3 linked regions of the Caenorhabditis elegans genome follow. The protein of the gene in region 2 interacts with the protein of the main gene of each other region in a pairwise test. Each region holds a gene or a part of one and is shown on either strand. Other genes may lie near its edges.

The links.
Region 1: the proteins of eyg-1 (region 2) and fos-1 interact in a two-hybrid assay, tested with the Caenorhabditis elegans proteins (one large-scale study listed by BioGRID).
Region 3: the proteins of eyg-1 (region 2) and zip-7 interact in a two-hybrid assay, tested with the Caenorhabditis elegans proteins (one large-scale study listed by BioGRID).

What each region holds. Positions count from the first base shown.
Region 1 is NC_003283.11:6,006,123-6,010,538, reverse strand, and holds the start of fos-1 (Transcription factor fos-1), read right to left. Parts: upstream 1,974-4,416; coding exon 1,716-1,973; intron 1-1,715. UniProt on the Caenorhabditis elegans protein: Developmentally regulated transcription factor which binds and recognizes the enhancer DNA sequence 5'-TGA[CG]TCA-3'.
Region 2 is NC_003280.10:9,826,131-9,830,546, forward strand, and holds eyg-1 (Homeobox domain-containing protein), read right to left. Parts: upstream 1,823-4,416; 5' UTR 1,797-1,822; coding exon 1,748-1,796; intron 1,688-1,747; coding exon 1,581-1,687; intron 1,529-1,580; coding exon 1,432-1,528; intron 1,161-1,431; coding exon 777-1,160; intron 691-776; coding exon 383-690; 3' UTR 318-382; downstream 1-317. Other genes in the region: ZK938.1 (Serine/threonine-protein phosphatase), read left to right, coding at 3,362-3,401, 3,455-3,582, 3,658-3,936, 3,984-4,271, 4,318-4,416.
Region 3 is NC_003282.8:16,503,242-16,507,657, reverse strand, and holds the start of zip-7 (BZIP domain-containing protein), read left to right. Parts: upstream 1-1,975; 5' UTR 1,976-1,988; coding exon 1,989-2,105; intron 2,106-2,208; coding exon 2,209-2,403; intron 2,404-3,420; coding exon 3,421-3,528; intron 3,529-4,067; coding exon 4,068-4,205; 3' UTR 4,206-4,416. Other genes in the region: Y51H4A.935 (uncharacterized protein), read left to right, coding at 495-506, 562-696, 1,003-1,038.

The sequences.
Region 1 (4,416 bases), on a different chromosome or scaffold from region 2:
AGCAAAAATTAAAAGAAAACATTTATGTAAAACTCAGAATATAAAAAAGTTGTTTCACTTTTTGCTCTATTTCAGCGAATTATATCTGTATTGTTCCAACTGATGAAATATGTTTCAAATATTTTCGTAAATTTTGATAATTTAATACCGTATTTCTTCTATTAATATGGCTGCAATACTATTTTTCGATTCCTTCCCGCTTGCAATACTAATAGGGAGTGCAAGACTATTATGGAGTGCAATACTAATTTTCAGAACATTTTCTGACTTTGAGCTTACTAGTTTTTTCCTGAAAAAGCTCGAATCATATGTAAAAATTCAGAAAATTTGATTTTCATATAAGTTCAAAAACTTCAATCTCGTAGAAATGATGTGAAAACTGTTGCCAAATAGGCAAAAAATGTTGTTGAAATCCTGAAATTAGCGAGACGGGTTTGCAATACAAAAAAGTTAACGCAAGACTATTAGAGAGTGCAAGACTAATAGGGAGTGCAATACTAATTTTCGGAAGGTCTCCGAGGGGCAATACTAATAGGGAGTGCAAGTCTAATAGGGAGGCCATATTAATAGAAGATATACGGTAATTTAAAATCTACTTATCAAAGCCTATCAAAAACCAACAAAGCAGAAAGATGGGTATTCTACATTGGTGCGTTCGCTAGAAATAGTTTTTCTTTCAGTAAGTGTTGGAAATTGATAATTAAAAGGTTTCAATTGTCTTATCATTTTTTTATCAACTCTTCCTTTTTCACCGTCATTTGTCAAAATTCTCAGTGGGTTAAACTGATTTAGAACTGAAAAGAATACTGTTTCACACCTACATGTTCAAAATGAAATAGAATACCTGTGAATATAATTGTTCTGAGTTCACATTTGCCAGTTTATTACATTTTTTGTTAAAGTTTGTTTTATTTACAAATAAAGCTCAAAAATTATTTTTGTAAGTCTGGTCTTCAGCGACAATAATTCTAAGAAAACTGGTAAAAAGTTGTCAGCGCAAAGAAGGAACGCTAAAACACGTGATCTCTTTTTATTCGTAGGTCCCAAGCTCAAAGCAGAAGTGACAGATATTTTTTGAATATTTAAAAAATTTGCGTGCCTGTAATATTTTCACTGGCACCGAAAAAAGTTAACATATAAGTATTACTTATCTTTTTTCAACAGGTGCAAACAGGAAACAATCCAAAACGGATTAGCGAGTGCATGAGAGGTAAAGAAGATCACAAAAGTAACAATTGGGGGAAAGGTGAAAGATAGATAGATTACTGTAGAAGTGTGTAAACACGTCGGCATCTTCTTTTAAGATTCCTCGTGCACCACCTATCCATATACATTTAATCCATAACCAAATAGTTTTATTTTTCCGGAACTAAAATCCGGGGGAGATGGCTGGTAAGAACATTTTTGAGGGAAAAGATTCAAGAGCTAGGTAACTTTTTTCTGCATGACTTTTGCACAAAAGAATTAGTGAACGCTTTACTTTTTGGTTTGATACTTTCAGAATTAATATTAAACTAAATGAAAGTAAGCTACTATAATCTCATTTTTATATGGGAAAGAAGAGATCAACTGACAAATGTAAGGCTCGAGGTTGAGTGAAAAATGAGTGAAAGTAATGATTTAAAAGCTCTATCAAAACTCGTGATTATTAGCAAGGGAATAGTGGACTTTGAAGTAAACACTGAATTAAGGAAGATATTTGTGATGTATCATACCTGCAGGAAATCAGTTCCAAAGAATAAAGGGAGTCCATATGCATTTGATGGATAATATGGTGTACACGGAGTTAGAGGTGAGTTGTCGGTTTGTTGTTGGTGGATCTGATGGTGATGTTGTCGCGGTGGAACAATGACTGATGTCGGGTGCGCTTGGTTGATCGGGTTCCTGGGACCCAATTCGAAGTAGTGATTGGAATCGGAGCCAGAACCAGAGCTCGTGGTGGTGTTAGTCGTCGACGATGGTTGTTCGAACATTCCACTCTCTTATATAGCAGAGGTGCTGACACACGATCGGGGCCAAACACAGAAGGTGAGTAACCGGGAATAGAAGTGGAAAAAGTAGGGGGAAGAAAAGGGATTCTGATTCACGAAGATGACTCTTCTAGGTGATGATTAGCACAACACGGGTTGATTGTATCTTTGGACAGGGGACCAGCGATGACAAAAGTAAGTTGCGTGTGTGGGCAGGTGTTTGGTTGAGAGAAGAAAGGAGCGAGGGAAAGAGAAAACTGTCGAGAGCAACGGCCACCGCGAACGGTGCGCAAGCTCCGCCCACACCTTCGGGAGGACGACACCAAATTTGAATTTTCAAAGAGCCACCGCCAATGATATCACCAAGAAAACGCCGGCTGGTGACGGGGTGGCCGACGGAACTGTGTATTAAAGTGCACGAGAGTTTTTGATAACTTTTGATTTCGAATATGTGACAATTGACTAGATGGTGGGTGTACGGTATTTATGTAACATACAAAAAAAAACAGAAACTGTCGAGAAAGGAGACAAAAAAGGCGAACCATTGGGTGCTTTCTGTTTAGATATTGATGGTGAGTCAGCAACATCGAAGACGAGATGGGAAACAAAAAATGGTATTGTTTGGGATAGAAGAACCGGAGACGTCGTCGTCTTCCCTTCTTTTATTCTACAAAAGTATGACATTCCGGGGAGCAGGTGCTCTCTTTGCCAATTCAGCTAATTATTTCTTCTGTGAAGCTTCCCGAGTTTCTAACTCAAATAACCCAATTGGCATTTGGCTCGTTGATTGCAGAGAAGAGGTGATGAATACCGATGATTCAGTGCGATGCGTGCACGCGGAACGAAGGATGACACTAACAGGTATGTGTCGTTTGTTGACCCAAAAGCAACAGCAACATTTAAATATTTGGATGGATGTCTAAGTCTATAAATTTAACAGGCAATAAACTTTTAATAACCTTTTTGGATGAGAGGGGCCTAGCTCAAATAAAATAAAATCTAAACGTTTACAGCTTATATCAGTTGTCATTTGTTCTATTGAGAAATTGCCAACTGACAACATTTTTCAAAAATTATTTGTCTGTCGCTTGAATTTACTTATTCACTAATATCTTCACAATGGACCGAGCTGTTACTTTTTTAAAATGGCGCAGTAGAGTAGTAGAGGACAAATAGAGGAAATATTATAATTTAAATTTTGAAATTGCATGCCATACTAATGAAAGACATGAGGTAGTCATCAAACATTGGGTGCAAAATAATCATTTACTTGTTTCAAGAAAGTATTTCCAATTTCTATGAAACATGCTATACTTTCGTTATGATCTGAAGCTAGGTTGCATTTTGAAAACAACATTTGAGCTTTCTGAAACTCAGTCCAATCAAGGGCTGTACAGCCAGCTTCTGCTGACATCGATCTTGATTAGACTGACACCGAGCTCAATAGATTTACCAGAGCCAGGAACTTATATTGATGCGATCTCAAAAAAGCTCAGCTTCCAAAACATTTTATCATATTTTCAATATGACTACCCGTTACGGAAATTTTTTAAAAATATTTACAAGTTCAAAACCGAGCTACAAATATCTCCAAAAAGATTTTCAATAATTCATCAATTTACTCGAAATATTTTAAATCAGGGGACGTTTTGGCCAGTAAATCATGAAATGTTAACTTCCAAGCTCCAATAAAAAGACTACCAAATCTCTGAAACTTTTCCAGCTTCTGATGTTTAAAATTCAAAATGTTCTGTTTGTACAGTACAACAGTTTCACACTTCTTTTTTCCCAAATCTTTTCAATTTCCTTCTACTCCCTTGTTTCTTCCCGATCGTGCCCTAGATAGTACTCCAATCACAATAGACGCAGAAAATGCACTTTTTCCACCTTTTCCCTTTTTCTTGAATGACGTGATACCGGTGTGTGCGTACCGGTGCCGAAATGAAAAGACAACGGAATTTGAATTTTTATTTTGGAAAAAAAAAGAAGAAATTTGGAGAGAGAAGTGAGAAGTGGGACAAGGAGAATGAAAGCTACCACGCGACATGCTTGTACTATTCGGTGGATACAGGTGTTTTCGGGAAGAAACAGTAATAACAGGATATTTTAGTTTTATGCGGGAAACAAATATTTTAGTCTAAAATTTATTCACTTTACGATTTCAAATATTTCCTAAATCTCAAAGATGGAGCAGTTGTTACAGTTTTAAAAATCTGAATTGAATAAATAGGTTCCCCAGTGTCGCAACACAGTCTTTAAAAATCTTGAAAACATGTTACTTGAATTAAAAAAGATTTGAAATATCTGTGGACTAGCTAGTATATGCTGATACCCAAAACGTGAGCAAAGCTTCAAATTTACTTTTTTACTTATCTTACCTAAAATTGGTTTTGCTGGAAATTGCTCAAAGCTCAATTTTTCGAAAATTTCACAATTTCCAAAACTG
Region 2 (4,416 bases):
ACAATACATTGTGAAATGGATATTAGGTGTTTCATAGGGAAGAGGAGATGGACTTTCTCTCTTTGATCTCAAAGCTTTGAGCAATTGTTTGCACAATAGGGAGCACAAAACTACCGTAACCCAAAAAGTTTGAGTAGACTTTAACTGAGTATTGGGCCACTTATGTTTCAATCTAGAAGGTGGGAATTGCATATAGGGGAAAGTTAGTGCGCTCTTCTTCTAAATTCACAAGAATTTATCGCTCAAAATGTGAAGATTGGAACTAGCATTTTGATAGTTAGCATTACGCTTTTTTAAAAATATTTTAAAACCAGAAGTTTTATCACTTTAACAATTTTATTACCAGAATCTTTCATAAATATTAAAACATCTTCAATTTGCATCATTCATAAGGTTTAAATAAAGTTATTGTCTTCTTTTTCCCTTCGTCACTTCCCGTTTCCTGTCCTCCTCCAGGTGATGGTGACTGACTGGAAATACTTAAAGCATCATCTGTTTCAGATCGTTCAGCTCTCAATTCATCTCGATCACTTCCATTTGCATTTGTCTTTCGCCATTTTGCACGACGATTTGAAAACCAGACTTGTATACGTGCTTCTGGCAAATTGGTTCTCTTGACAAGATCAGCTCGTTCATTGGGAGATGGGTAGGGATCGCGGAGGAAGACTTCTTCCAGACTTTGTAGTTGTTCTGTAAGTATAAAAGTTAGACATTTGCTGCAATCTCCATAAAAATGAAAAGGTAAAGCTGTATGAAATTTGAAAAAAAAAACTAACCATTTGTAAAAGTACTCCTCGAGAGTCTTCTAGCATTTGCGCCAAGAGTTGAGTCGTCTTCCGACAAATTCAGATTCGAGTCTACCGATATTTGCCCAGAATTTCCAAAAACTCCAGGACCTCCTGCTCCTCCTGACTGAACAGGCGGAGCCAACGCTCCTGAGTTCAATAGCAACGACAGCTGAGCAGGATTTGGTAACAGTCCAGGCCAAACCAATGGGAATGGGAATGGAAATGCAGGAGGCAGTCGGACTTGTTGAGCACGCGGACGAGCTAGATGTTGAGCCGAAAGGATCATTTGAAGCTCCTCAGCTGCTCGTTCGGCTGCACGAGTACGGAGGATACGATTGATAGATGAAACCGAGGGTGGGGTGGTGCAAACGTCTGAAAATTTGTTGTTTGGATACAGAAATTTAACATTATTTGCTTTTATTAAAATTATTGAGCGAGACGGAGAAATTAACTAAATTTTTAAGATCAAGTTTTTTAAGTCAAAAATTTGAATTCCCATAAAAATTGTTTGAACATGATAAGACTTTTTGGAAAACACAAAGTCAGTAGCCAAGAATTGTCGTTATAAGTTTTTTTAATATAATTCAATTAATTCATCAGGTAACAATCATATTGAATTCAATCTAATAATGCTTGAACATACCTTCACTTATGAGCTTTTCCCTGATCTCCCACGCAAAGATTGTTGGGTTATCCCTTTTGTATTGCTCAATTTTTGCAACGACTTGTGGAGTAGCAACCTACAATTTTTATTTAAATCAAAAACAACTGTTTATCATAATAAAATCTCACCTTCGGTTTTGTTCCAGCACCGCCCGCGGCATTACTGTTGCCTGATGGTTTTCCGCCATCAGACTGCGAAGTTCGTCTTGTCATTTTGCCCATGGTGTTGTGAGCTCCTAAAAACAATTATTCCATTAAGATTTTTTTATATAATAACTTATAAAATTCAAACTTACCCCAAAAATGCAAAAGCTGCTCTTGAGATAGTGGTTGTTGAGCAGCCATAAAAATTTGTGTCGTGGTAAACCGTGAGTGAACCGTATCTAACCTTTAGCTTAGCTTATCCTCTTCAAAGACCCCGCCTACTTTTCTACAGTACCCCACATTGTGTTGAATATATGGCGGCATCATTAAAAGGGGCGGAGGAGTTGTGTAATGAAGTGTTGTACGGACAATATAATGCAGATTAACTGGTTAAGAAGGATGAGTGAGGTCAGAGTTATGATAGGTGCATCTGAGTCCATGTTGTCGAGCTGTATTCGATAATATCCAAAAATGTGAACTGTGAATGTGATACCGTATTTTCACTATCTCATTTGCATCTAATCGTTTAGGACTGGACCAGTTTTATAAAACATTATCAACTGGAAAAATTTGTACTTTTTCCTTATGGTTTTGTTTTTTTTCTGATCTCTGGAAAAATAACCGGGATATAAGTTGTCTAAATCTTTCCGCTGTTGATTTGATTTATTAGAATCATGCACGTAAGTTGATATGGCTCATGAAAGACGATCAAGTGAGCTCTATTTCTATAACCAAATTTAGTTTTAAACATATAATGTGAAAATCTTTATAAATTTGATAAATCCAAAGGAATGTGAGTTGTCTAAAAAGAGCAAAGGATGCCAGACACACAGAAACAATTTATCAGAAAAAAAAACAAGTAAAATAAAAAACTCAATTCTTTGTACTTTCCACATGTAAATTATTGCGCAATTCCTCTTAACCTTTGTCTAATGTACACATGAATGAGCTGTCCCGTGTCCCCTCAAAAGTGTGAAGTACCAGAGTGTGATCTGACAGGACACCGACAACACATCAACACAGAAAACACATAGAAGATATCAGATTTCAATCTGATCTATCTTCGGCGCGACAAGCAGCGACGATGGCTAACGGAATGAGCCAGCAGCACTTGACATTCATGTTCGTGTGCTAATCATCATTGTGCACATCCGGACCCACTTCAAAATTGGGTGTCGGTACAGGAAAATGAGAGCCGAAAAGGGATGCAGAAGTGGTCTTGTTGGATTTACATAACAATTATTGGACAATAAGGCAGGATAAAGGGCAGCTGCAAGACTGTTTGGGAGAATTAAGGAATGCTTTTTAATTTCAAAGTCTAGATTTGATGCCAACTATTTAAAAATGGAGTAGTGCGAATGGGGATTTTGATCTAAAAAGTAGCCAAAATTGAAAAAAAAAATCACGTTTATTTTAGTCGGATTTTTAGTGTTCTTAATTTTTTTCGTTTTTCTTTTGTGGTATTTGGTGGTACCTGAATTTCAGAAAGTTCTGGGTATCGTAAAAATCCCCCACATTCTAAAACGTGAAGCAAACAAAATATTCTGTTAAGTTGTCAGAAGATTTTTAAAAATAAATCAAAAAATCAAAACTTTTGCATATAGTCTAGTGTGACCCCTCCTCCCATCGAGTTGTTATCTTTGATAAGATCTTCCAACTCTTCAAAACAAGGACTTCGATTGAAAATAATTTATTCCCACTTTAACTAACCATCGCGGCATCTCGCATCTTCTACTCACTGCTAACAACACTAACCTACGCTCGAAATGGTCAACATTCCCAACTTTATCGATAAGGTTTTATCAGGTAAATTAATTTAGCAGATTTAAAGTTTCATACTGTAACGTTATAATTTTCAGTCAACGACACTTCTAACGCCTCTCTAACACATTGCATCAAAGAGGCAGATATTGATGGCGTCATCGAGGAATGTAAGGATATCCTCTCAGCGCAAGCGACAATGGTTGAGGTTCAGGCGCCGATTGCGGTACGTTGACTTTTGACTTTTTAGTAAAATAGAGAGTTATTCTTGAAGTTCCTGCCAGAATACGTGTACTTTCAGGTCTGTGGAGACATTCATGGGCAGTATACTGATCTTCTTCGAATCTTCAACAGATGCTCATTCCCGCCGGATCAAAACTACCTGTTCCTGGGCGACTACGTGGATCGAGGACGTCAACAACTTGAAGTCATTTGTCTCCTCATGGCATACAAAGTCAGGTATCCAAATGGGTTCTTTATACTCCGAGGAAACCACGAGTGTGCTTCAATCAACCGTACGTATGGATTTTACGATGAGTGTAAACGAAGATATTCTTTGGCTCTATACAATGAGTTCCAAGTAAGTTTTAGTGCGTTGCGGTATTCTGTCAAACCTCAGTATTTCAGAATTTGTTCAACAGTCTCCCATTGTGCGCAATGATCTCCGGACGAATCTTCTGCATGCATGGTGGATTGAGCCCGGAATTGGTTTCATGGACACAGCTTGCCAAAATCATACGCCCATTCGATCCACCAAACGCGTGCCTTGCAATGGATCTCCTTTGGGCAGATCCAGAGAACAACCATACCGGATGGGGAAAGAACTCACGCGGAGTTTCCTATATTTTTGGAGCCAACGTTGTAAAGGACTTCACGGAGAAGATGAATATCGATCTCATTGCTAGAGGCCATCAGGTATGATATCACTTAATAACTTTTGATAAACAATTTTCAATTTCAGGTTGTTCAAGATGGATACGAATTTTTCGCCGACAAACGCCTCGTGACAATCTTCTCTGCACCCAAATACTGTGGAGAATTCGACAACAATGCAGGAATT
Region 3 (4,416 bases), on a different chromosome or scaffold from region 2:
TATTGAAAAATCGCTAACCACAAAATTATAGAAAATTAAATTTTCCACAAATTCGCAGTTGACAACTTTTTCCAAATTTATCCGGAACCAAGATAGACGTATTAGAAGTTGGTAGTGGCCGAGGTTTTTCACCTCCACGGCCACAAGGCCAACACCCCCCAACTCATTATACCCCCGTGGTCCTAATGTGGTAACGCAATAATCTGTGTGTGCGTATGTTCAAGTACACATACCCCAAAAACTTGCGTAATTTCTTTGAATTTACCGCTATTCTGACATACGGAAATTTGAATATTATCGGGGGAAACGCGTGAAAACGTATTGAATGGAAAAAAATGTTGAAAATAATTTTAATTTTTTCGTGAAACTGGGAAATAATTTTCAAAAAAAACGTGTTTTTTTTTCAAAGTCGCCAACTAAAAATCAATAATCGAAAAAATCAGTTTCGAATTTTGTTTAAAAATTCCATTCCACTGAAACGAAGAAGAAGCCAAATGATTGCACAAGTCAGTTTAAGCCTGCCTGCCTGCCTGCCTGCAAAAAATGCTCCGAAATTTACAGCTCGTGCTTCCAATTCTTGTGATTTTCGGATCTCTGGTGATGAATTGTGGCGGAAAGAAGAAGAAGTCAGCAAATTCTCCGGAAGGAACAAATAAATCAAAGTTAGGGGCTCCAAAGGAGAAGAAGGATGAAACTGTGAGTTGTGTGACCGCGACGCGACCGCAACGCGACCGCAACGCATTGTTTAATTAATTTTGCTGATTTGGGATACGTACCACAGGTTTCTGCCTTCCCTCCTATTCTGAAATGTAAGAGTTTTGCCGAACTAGGCCATTTTGGCTCAGTAGATTTACGGGGCGTTGCGTGTCGCGTCGCGGCTCGGATTTGTCCGTGTGAAGTACACGACACTTTCCCACGCGTTGTCCGGCAGGCGATTGTCAATAGAGCGCGAATAATGCAATGAGGAAGGTCCTACTTTTAAAGAAACAATTCTGATTTCAGGAAGGCAACTACGAGGAGCTCGCCGTGCCACAATAATTTTCAGGATTCTCATTTTTCACTTGAATAAACCAGTTTTATTGGGATTTTTGTGTTAATTTTTGAATTTTTGAATTGGTGCCTGTTTCATGTGAAGCATTTAACAAGTGGAATTTACAAGGGAAAATTGTTAGCAAGTTGAAGTACGAGCGTTTTTTACAGAAGAAGTAGTATCTCCTCAGCCATTGTAGCTATCAAAAAGTTGTCAACTGGGAAAATATTTATAAATTTATGTTGAACATTTTTTTAGTTGGCAACTTTTCACTAGCTCCGATACTTTTTCAGTTATGGTAGTTTTTCGCGCAAAACTCCAACTAAAATTACCGATTTTTAAGTTTGAAGGCTTATATCTCCTTAGCTATTGAAGTTATCAAAAAGATTTTAACTATGAAAATATTGCAAAATTGATTTTAAACATTTTGTTGGTTGACAACTTTTTATTAGCTCTTACACTTTTCAAGTTATGCCCAGTTTTCCCCACGGAACTCCAAGACATGCCCACCTATTGCCACCTCGTTATACATTTAGGACCACCACCAATCTCTTTTGCGGTACATTATTCAACTAACAGCAGACGGTAGTTAGTTAGTTAGAGAACAACGACGCAACGATTGCGCCATTACAGTTCAAATCATCATAAAAAGAGCCGCCCGTCTTTAGAGACCCCGTGGGCAAATGGGGGAGGAGGCGGGTCTAGTAGGGCCTGTAGAGGTGTCCTGTTTGCGTGCAGACTTTTTCTCAGCATGCGGTAGCTCATAAGTTCCGGTGTAATAGTTTGGTAACTGTTGAGTAATACGGTTTTGGTTTTGAAAATTTAAAAAAAATTCTGTTTCAAAAAAATTTGTTTTATTATAATTTTTTTCAACTTATTACTGTGTTCTTTGGAAGCTTTTTCCTAAATTTCTAGCCATTTTCCACCAATTCTCCACCAATTTCCAGATTATTTCCAGATGATGACAGACATTCAACAGCAGCTGGCTGCCTCGAGAATGTGTGATTCGGATTCTATAAAGGCATTCAATCAGATGTACGCACAGAATCCGTATGGAGCAGGAGCTTTTGATAAGGTTTGTAATTTTTTTTGGAATTTTTCTGAAATTTGAAAAAGTAAAAAAATTTTTTTACTGTTTCAAAAATGCTTTTTAACAAAAAATTAAATTTTTTTCTTAGAACTACTCCGCAGCCACTGCTCTCCCATTTTTTGCTCAACATTTCGCGCCATACGCGAATCCCCATGCCACGTCATCTTTTTCCCCGTCATCGTCTTCCACGTCATCCACCACGTCGTCTCAAAATCAGCAGAGTGGCAGCAGTGGGAGTAAGAAGAAAAAACCGGTTCCGGTGCCGGAAAATCAAAAGGATGAGGTAAGAGATTAAATGGCCGAGAAATGAGAAAACTCGGCCACCAGAAAAAAACGGCCGATCTGCTAGTGTTAGATGTGGCCGAGAAAAAATGGCGGCCGAGGTTTCCTGGATTCCTTCTGCCACAGGGTTCTGGTTTTCCTCATTGAATGTTTCGCGCTCCATTGACAATCGCCCGCCGGACAACGAGTGGGAGAGTGTCGTGTACTCCACACGGACAAATCCGAGCCGCGACGCGACACGCAATGCGACGTAAATCTATCCCAGATATGGCCGAGCCAAAATGGCCTAGTTCTGCAAACTCTTCCATTTCAATTTATGAGGCCAGAAAACCGTGTTCTGCTATGAAAATTGAACTGTTTTTTTTAATTTCCGCTGGTTTTCAAAGTGGTGGCCGAGTTTTTTCTCTAATTTCACTGCCACGAAGTTGAAAAATTGATTTTTTTAAACTGAAAATAGAGTTTTTTTCTGATTTTTCAGTGAAAAAACGTTATTTTGGACCAATTTTGCTGATTTTTCTCGTATTTTGCATTTAAATCGAGATAAGTTGACAATTTTAATGTAAAATACAAAAAAAATCAGCAAAAAAGATCCAAAATAAAGTTTTTTAGCCGTATTTTTCTTAAAAAGGCGTATGAATTAAAAAGTCGTATGAATTTAAAAAGTCGTATGAATTAATAGCTAGCCACGTGTCGATTTACGGAGGCCGTGTACTCCTCGTGGAGTTGATTTCTCTGGGTTTTCGTTTGAAAAAAGTATTTTTATGCCAATTTTGCTGATTTTTCTTGTATTTAACGTTTGAATCGGCAATTTTTGAGTTAAAAACTATAAATTATGTCATAAAATGACAATTTACCATCAAAATCCAACAAAAATCAGTGAAAATTGGCCAAAATCAAGCTTTTCAGCCGTTTTTTTTTCTTCAAAAAACCAGTGTAAACTCTTCCACGAGGAGTACACGAGCTCCGTAAATCGACAGCTAATAGTCCAAAATCCTCTCGAATAAATCCAATTTTCCAGGCCTATCTCGACCGGCGCCGCCGAAACAACGAAGCCGCCCGTAAATCCAGAGAATCTCGCAAGAAAGTCGATCAGGACAATAGTGTTCGTGTAACATATTTGGAGAGGGTACGTTTTCAAAATTTCCCATAGATAATAATCCTTTGCATCATTTTTTTTGGCGGGTTTTTTTTTCCAAAAAAGGGCTTAATTGATGACGTCATCAGTCAACAGGTGTCAGCCTGGCTACGCAATAACTTTGAGAACGCGCCCACGCCGACTTTTCCCAATTTTTCAATAAATTTCGGGAATATCAGATGGCTTTTTGTAGATAACCGACACTTTTAAAAGTACTTTTTGATAGTTTTGCAAACGCGCTCTAGTGCACACGTACAGTAACGTTTGTTCCCTTAATGGTGTTCCACTTTTCGATATGTTCACCAAGAATGGTGTTGGAAAGATTTGTTGGTTTGGAGCAGTAGGTAGTGGACGCAGTTCGGTGTGAGCACTCGTTGGATCAATTCCAGGGAGTGGCTTTTCTTTTTTGTTTCGTTAAAGTTTAACTTTACTTTTTTTTCGGACTAAAAATAAAGAGTAACTCTGATAAAAGGCTTAGTTCTGACGGCATAAAATTTTTATCAATCAATTAATAATTATTTTTTCTCCAGGAAAATCAATGCTTGCGAGTCTACGTCCAACAGCTCCAACTACAAAACGAATCGATGAGACAACATTTGCTCCTGCAAAATCCGGGCACTATAGACACTATGGACCCGATTGCCATGGCGAATATGCCGAGTTATTAAGCTTCTCCCCTCCCACACAAAATCATCTCATTCTTGCACACACATTCAAATCCTTGCTTCTGTATCGAATTTCCACACACCACCCTCTCATTGCGTCACTTTTTTTTTGTAATTTTCTGTAAAAATATAGCTATTTTTGAAGAAAAATGCATTTTTTCAAAAAAAATAAATGAGCGACTACGGTAAGCAATTCCGAGTCTGCAAACACCGT